2 linked regions of the Lonchura striata genome follow. The protein of the gene in region 1 purifies or fractionates together with the protein of each later gene. This does not show direct contact. Links are inferred from orthologs where the notes say so. Each region holds a gene or a part of one and is shown on either strand. Other genes may lie near its edges.

What was found.
Region 2: the proteins of POLR2E (region 1) and MED26 purify together in Homo sapiens (affinity purification with mass spectrometry; 3 studies listed by BioGRID and IntAct, with this or other methods). This does not show direct contact. The link is inferred for Lonchura striata from reciprocal best matches to the Homo sapiens genes POLR2E and MED26.

The regions. Positions count from the first base shown.
Region 1 is NC_134630.1:6,513,762-6,517,508, reverse strand, and holds POLR2E (DNA-directed RNA polymerases I, II, and III subunit RPABC1), read right to left. Parts: upstream 2,715-3,747; 5' UTR 2,645-2,714; coding exon 2,588-2,644; intron 2,443-2,587; coding exon 2,268-2,442; intron 1,982-2,267; coding exon 1,866-1,981; intron 1,488-1,865; coding exon 1,407-1,487; intron 1,247-1,406; coding exon 1,188-1,246; intron 1,052-1,187; coding exon 973-1,051; intron 839-972; coding exon 773-838; 3' UTR 765-772; intron 514-764; exon of another isoform or gene 413-513; 3' UTR 265-412; downstream 1-264. UniProt on the Homo sapiens protein: DNA-dependent RNA polymerase catalyzes the transcription of DNA into RNA using the four ribonucleoside triphosphates as substrates.
Region 2 is NC_134630.1:3,983,031-3,986,777, reverse strand, and holds the start of MED26 (mediator of RNA polymerase II transcription subunit 26), read right to left. Parts: upstream 3,015-3,747; 5' UTR 2,978-3,014; coding exon 2,903-2,977; intron 1-2,902. UniProt on the Homo sapiens protein: Component of the Mediator complex, a coactivator involved in the regulated transcription of nearly all RNA polymerase II-dependent genes.

The DNA of each region.
Region 1 (3,747 bases):
GCTGGGGGTGATGAGCAACTCTCCATGGCAGCGTGTGAACACCGGGGTCCCAAACCAGGGGACAGGGCAGGAGATCAGGGAAGGAATGAGGATGAGTCTGAACTGCAGCTTCCAAACTGCCCAGGGCAGCTCCTAAAGGCTCTGCAGAGCCCAGCCACGATGCAGAATCCTGGCAGGAAGAGATTCCAAACGCAATGAAAATGATGGGAACTTGCAGAGTCTCGAGGCTTTGCCACAGGGAGAGGCTGAGCAACGCTGCGGCACTGAGGGTACAAACCTTTATTTCAAACAAAAGCCCATAAAACAGGGAAGGAAAAGCCCTTCCCACTCATTTCCTCCCATGGCTGAGTCCTGGATGGGACTGAAGGGTCACCACGAAGTCCAAGATGTGGAATGAGGCCCAGTGACGGGGCTGCAGAGAGGGAAGAGGATTTGATTTCCTTGGCATTCCCTAAATTCAGGAATCTCCGAGCGTCCATGAACTGCTGCTGGGAGCCACCCAGCTCCTCACACCTGGAAGAGAAGGAGGGATGGGAATCACCTCCTGCCCCAGGTCCCTCTGAACACCCCAAATCCCAACGGGCACAGCCTGAGCAGAGGCACAGGTGGCAGGGGAGCCTTGCCCTGCTCTCCCCAACAGCTCCCTCCGTGAGCCATTTAAAACTCTGAGACATTTCCCTGGAAGCAGCTGCTTCACACTGACCTTGGAACAATCCCTGGCACTGCCCAAAGCCCCCCTGAGCTGAGGGTCCCCTCATCCTTACCCACTGTGTCACTGCACCAGTCTGTAGGTGATGTACCTGCCCGCCGTCTCGCTGGGCCTGATGATCTTCACTACCTGCAAGGCAGACACGGAGCTCACAACAGGAGGAGGAGGAGAAGGAGACACTTGTTCTGCTCCAAAATGCCCTCCAGGATCATCCCCTCCCTGTCCCACCACAGGAAGCTGCTGCCTCAGCCTGCTCCTCTCACCTGGCCACGCTTTATCCCGAAGTACCGGGCCACGGGGTCCCCAGCCTGGATCCTGGGCAGCTGGTTCTCCCTCAGCTTGCTGTGCTGGGAGTCAAGGAGAAGCTCTGGACTGCTGGCAGCTCACAAACCAGAAATGAACCGTGGCAGGAGGAGGGGTTTTCAGCCCGAATTTCATCACAGGATGGAGGGACAGCAAGGGGACACTCAAAGGATACTATCGGGCCAGCAGCTCCGTTACCTCCTCCTTTGTCATAACCACGTGCTCTGGCACCAGCTGCAAACACCAGAGAGACTGAGTGAGGTGAGGCAGCAAGTGTTTGGGAGGGGGAAAAGGACAAGTGTGTCCCTCAGCCCAGCCAGGGAGCAGGAGGAGGAGTCTGGGAGCAGCAGGAACGCAGCCAGCACGAGGGAGGGACCATCCTCCCACCGCTCACCTCGTGCTCCGTGATGTTGATGAGAAGCTCCTGCTGCAGGAACTGCTCCAGGATGTATTTGGGAGCCATGTCAACCAGGGACTGGAAGGAAAAAGCCCTTTTAGAGGTGGCTGGGGCAGCCCTGGCAGTAAAAAGACTTTTCAGAGGTGGCTCTGGCAGTGCTCAGAGCTGCTCCTGGGTAAGCCCCTGAGCTCCTGGAACAGGGAAACATCTCTTTTTCCCTCCCCCACCTCCTGACTGCCCGTGGGCCCTCAGCTGTGCCACTGCCACCAGGACCAGCTGCTCTGGATAAACACAGTTGGGTGCTAAAAAAGAACCTGTGCTCAGTACAACGGGTTCCAGCAAAAGCTTTTCTCTGGAGGCCAATTCAGGGCTTTCATTTACCCGCAGCAAGGCTAAGGAACAGACAAGGAAAACCTTCCCAGCTGCTGAGTGGGACACGGTGCTGTCCCCACAGACCTGCTTGGCCGAGGGGGTCATTCCCTGCTGCACCACGATCAGTGCCCGGGTGATGTTCTCCTCCTGCATGCGCTGGCAGTACATCTTGATGGTCTTGATGCCCACCTTGGGCTCCTCTGAGGAAAGAGCCAGAGCCGGGGTCACCAAGAGTCCGCGGCAGGAGGGCTCAGCCAGACCCGGGTCACCCCTGTGCTCCGAATCTCCCCTGAGGGCTCAGCCAGACCCGGGTCACCCCTGTGCTCCGAATCTCCCCTGGGGGCTCAGCCAGACCCGGGTCACCCCTGTGCTCTGAATGTCCCCTGAGGGCTCAGCCAGACCCGGGTCACCCCTGTGCTCTGAATCTCCCCTGCGGGCTCAGCCAGGCCCGGGCTCACCGGACCCGCCCGGGCGGGCGCTGCTCACCGGGGAAGAACACGAACATCTGGTCGGTGGGATCATCGTTGTGAGCCACCAGCACGGTCAGGTCGGTGCGACGGGGACGTCCCTCGCTGGGTTTGTCGCCGAACTGCGCCTTGAACTCCTCCAGCGTCTGATCCAGCTCGTCCTGGGTCACCAGGTACCCGCGGTCGTGGCAGAGCTGCGGGAGCAGCGCCGGCCTCAGCAACCGAGAACCGGCACTGCGAACCGGCCTCCGCGTCCCACACCTCCACCCTGCGGCCCCAGAGCGCCGCCGGAACTCCCCACCGCCAGGCTGGGCCCTCCCGGCGCCGCCGTTCCCGGACCTGCATGATGGTCTTGCGGATCTTCCACAGCCGGTACGTCTCCTCCTCGTCGTCCATCTTGCCCGCCGAGGCCCCCGCGGGCTGCCCGCGCTGCCGCCTACCCCCGCGCGCGCGGGGGGCCTCAGCCGCGGCGCCTCCTGGGAGATGTAGTCCACCGCCAGCTGCCCCCCTCCGCTGGCTCCGGAGGGAACAGAAATCTCTCTGCTGCTCTCAGCGTGGGTCTCTGGGTGGCTGCGGCTCTGTTCGGAACCCGCGGCCGGGTCGGGAGGGAATCGCCGCCCGGCAGCCGCGGCACCTGCTCCACACCCCGCCCTTTGCTCCGTCCTTGCCCCCCGCCCTCGTGGTCTGTCCCGATCAACACCCCTGCGGCCACCCCGCCCGCCCTGCCCTCCTATTGGTCAGCTTTCCATCCATCATCCCGCCGAGGCCGCCTCTATGCGTGCCGATTGGCTGATATGCCCGAAAGGGGCGGGGTTTGTGAGGGATGGGCTGGGCCAGCGCGGTGCGGGGCGTGCTGTGCTGCGCGCGGGCGGCGGCGGCGGCGGGAGCGGCGCTGGGACCAGGGCTGGGACCGGGACCGGTGCGGAGCATGGTGAGTGCGGGGGCCCGGGGGAGCGGCCGGGCCCGGGGGAGCGGCCGGGCCCGGGTACCGAGGCTCTGCCCGCCCGGGGAGCGGGGCTGGTCCGCCCGGGGACCGCGGCTGGCCCCGGGTCTCTCCCGCGGGCCGCCCGGGCGGGCGGCGGGGGCTCGGCCCGTTCCGGGACCGCGGCTCGGCTCCGAGGGTCCCCCGGGGGCAGCGGCGGTGGCGGGGCCGGCGCGGAGCTCCGCAGTGACGCGCCCGCCCCGCAGTGTGCCCAGGCGGATGACTGGCGCTCGGCCAAGGCTATCTACGACTTTCACGCCCTCGACATCGACGGCAACGACGTGTCCTTGGAAAAATATCGGTAGGACGGAGGGGCCGGGGCCGCGCCGGGCGAGGTTGAGCCACAGCGGCTCTTGCGTAACCCGCACGCCTCTCCTGAGAGGGTGAGGGACCTGTGCCCTGCGGGGAAGGGCAGCTCATCCCCCTCCTCTGCAGGGGAGACGTGTGTATCATCACCAACGTAGCCTCCAAGTGAGGCAAAACCGCCGTAAACTACACTCAGCTTGTCGACTTGCAC
Region 2 (3,747 bases), about 2.5 Mb from region 1:
CTCCACCTCCTGCTATGTTCTCACAGAAGCCTTGGAAGGAAAGTGATGCTGGTACTCAGTGCTTAGGTCATGGAGCAGAAGTGGTTTGCCCATATGTTTCCTGGAGGAGAAAAGGCTGAATAAATGAAGACACAATACCAGACATCCCGGGTGGCTTCTAGGATGATGTAAGTTCCTTTAAAAATAGCTTATTTCTTATAGGTCTCCTTTGAAATAGTTCAGAATTTACACAGGTAACCTCTAAATGTGAGAAACTAAGTTATAAATATATTCTGCAGCAATTACTAGAGGAGGTTCAAGTGCTAAACATGTGTAAATTCAATATTGCTCCCGAGTCAGCAGGGCTTTATGGAGCAGCTGGAGATGAACAATCAGCACACGAGATGATTTCCCGAGGCCAGCAGGTTCTGCAAGCTTGGGGAAACAATTATTTTGACCAGTTCAACCCAACAGAGGTAGAGAAACTTATGTCCTTTTTTTTTCCCCCCATTTAAGGCATGACCTGTGAGTCAACCATGATCCAAGTAACCACTCAAGAATAAATATCCACAATGGCAGATTGTGTTAGGGGATGTGTCAGGGAATTTAAGTGAAGCTTAAATTTACAGATCCTACAGTAAAGCACCATGAAGAACCAACCATCTCCTCCCTCCTCAGCCCCATAGAACTGGACTGGTTTTGTCCACCTGACACTACTGGTGCAGCTTTCAGCCTCTCCAGAAACACACACACTGAAAAGTCTGAATTAAATCTAGGCCTCAAAGCTTGACCTTCTTGGTAAATGAGGAAGTCAGTGACAACAATGTATGCTGTAGGTTTGAATACAAGTAGTTCTGTCAGGAGAAGATTCTAAGAGCCAGCAGAAAGTAGCTGGAGCTTTCCATGAGTCCCTGCAGGCACAGAAGCTCATTGCTGCACTGACTCTCCCAGCAGGAAAACAGCAGAGCAGCTTCTTGTACTTTCACCATGGTGTCCAAGTGTGATTAAACTCAAAATCTGTTTTTTAAGTGTGTTCAAAATGTAAGTTTTTCTTCCCTCTGTGCCAGTGATGTGCCAGGTAGTGAACAACCAACACCGCCACATATTCCATGTGCTTTGGAGCCACGAGTCTGAGTTCTCAGCCTGCACAATGAACCTCAGCTACACCACCTCTGCTCTCCTCCAAGAAAAGGTTAAACTGGAAGACAGACCCTGCCTACAGGCACTTTGGAACAATAGGCTGATTTTTCTGCCACCAATTATTGCCCTGGATAAGTATCAAGTATGTAGAATTAAAATTTAACATACATCACTCCTAAACTTAAGGGGCTACTGACCTGTTGGGAGCTCTGGCCTCCCCTTGCAGGGAGCTGCCTGGTTATTTGGAGTCCTCTCACAACAGCATCCTGAAACATCAGCATGTGGAGAAAGGGAAGAGTATCCAACACCAAATTGACTTTCTGGCTGTTTAGTTCTGCACAGCCACAGTGTCTGACAAAGTAACACCAGAATTAGGGTAACCACTGCAGCTGACAGTTCTGAAGTCAAAAGACACCACAGATCTGCTAGAATTTTATTAAAGTAGGTTGACACTCAGTCTCACGTAGAGTGAACAATCTGCAGCCACAGAGAGCTCAGTGCACACAGGATTCATGAAGTGTACTAACTGACATTTCAGCAAGATCCACGTTAAAGTACTGCAAACTCAGACAACCCTGACATTTAACAGCCCACAATTACCGCCACGATTGTTACTGTTACTCCAATGTGCAACACTGCAGCTCCCCACAGATGCCCAGCCCAGGGGGCTCTACAGAACCGACAAGGCCGGAGTGGTTTTTCTTCAGTCCCCATGACACAGGCTCCGGGAGGGTTCCAAATGACAATAACTTTATTAGCTACTTTAGGACTTTGATGCATGTCTATCACAAAAAAAGTACTTGTTCAGACAGGAGCAGGTACGACTTTAATAGAACCAAAGCACCATTTCACACACCCCAGCCCCTAAAATAACACGCACACATTCAGCCTGATGAGCCAGAGGCTGCTCCCACAAACTGCAGATGGCCAAGCCAGACCCACCTTGGCATCCTGTGGAGGTGAGTGTTGATCTAAGATTCAAAAATTGGACAGATTGAGGGCCCTGCAGTCCTCTCACAGTAATAAACACCTAAGCGGAGAACTGCTTGGATGAGCCAAAAAACCCTTAAAAGGAGCAAATGATCCTTTGGATAACCGCCACTTAAGGCCACTTACAGGTAAAATACACGCTGACTTCTGTGCTTACACCACATCCCAAGGAGCACATAAGCTCATTACGGCGCTGCAGGAAGGGATAAAAGCGAAGACCGAGGCTGCTCGGTGCTGGAGCAGCTCCAGAGCCCCGCAGCCACGGCCGGAGCCCTCCTGGCGTCCCCGCAGCCCGGGGTGCCGCCGGCCGCGGCCGGAGCGGCCGCAGGGCCCGAGGAACAGGTGGGCGCCCCGGAAGGTCCCGGCGAGCGGCGGCGGGGCCGGCCCAGAGCCCCCTGCAGGCCGCGCCCGAGCCGCGGCCTGGCGTGGGGAGGCGGCCGGGCCGCCCGCCGCATGGCCGGGCAGCACCGGCCGGGCCCGGGGCGCCGAGCGGCGGCGGGGCGGGGGCGGCCGCGGCGCCGGGCGGGCGGGGAGCGGCCCCCGGAGCCCCCAGCGGGGCGGCCCTGCGCTGCCGGCCCGGGGGGCGCGGGCGGGAGGCGCCGCCGGCTGCGGGACCCCGGGCGGACGGCGCGCCGGGAGCCCCGCGCCGCCGCCGGCAGCGGAGGCTCCGGTGCAGCCGGGGCGGCCCCGGAGGGAGCCCCGGAGGCCCCGGGAGGGGGAGAAGGGCGTCGCGGCGGGAGCGCCGGGCGGGGGTCGGCCCGGAGCGGCGGGGGCCCGCGGGGCCCGTACTCACGTTGCTCTGCGGGTCGATGGCCTGCAGCAGCCGGTCCCTGATCTGCTGCGGGGACGGGGCCGGAGCCGCTGTCATTGCCTGGGCGAAGCGGGGCGGCTGCGGCTGCGGCCGGGGCTGGCGGGCGGCGGGGCCGGGCCGGGCCGGGGCGGCGGCGGCGGCGGCTCCTCACTCGCCGGCGGCGGCGGCCTCGGGGAGCCGGAGGAGCATGTTCGCTCCCCGCCGGGCGGGGGCGGCGCGGGGGGCCGGGGGGAGCGGGCGAGCCCAGCGCTCCGCTCCGCTCCGCTCGGGCCGAACGCGGGGCGCGCTGGGGGCAGGGCCGGCGCCGCGCGCGGCTCCCTGGGACGCGCCCGACGCCGTGACGTGCGCGCGCCGCGCCCCGGCCCCCGCCCGCCCGCACCGCCGGGGGCGCGCACTGCGCCTGCGCGGGGGAGGGCGGGCGGCGGCGGGAGCGCGCGCGTGCGCGGTGGGGGAGCGGGGCGGGGCTGGGGCGCCGTGAGGGGGGAAGAGGGGGACGCGGGGGAGAGGGGGAAACAGAGGCTGGTGAGGGGATATGGGGGCAGCCAACAGGGACCCCACGGGGGGCACGGAGACAGCGAACAGGGACCCCTGAGGGGACATGGGGGCAGCGAACAGGGACCCCTGAGGGGACATGGGGGCAGCGAACAGGAACCCCTGAGAGGACATGGGGACAGCGAACAGGGACCCCTGAGGGGACATGGGGGCAGCGAACAGGAACCCCTGAGAGGACATGGGCACAGCGAACAGGGACCCCTGAGGGGACATGGGCACAGCGAACAGGGACCCCTGAGAGGACACGGGGGGCACGGGGACAGCGAACAGGGATC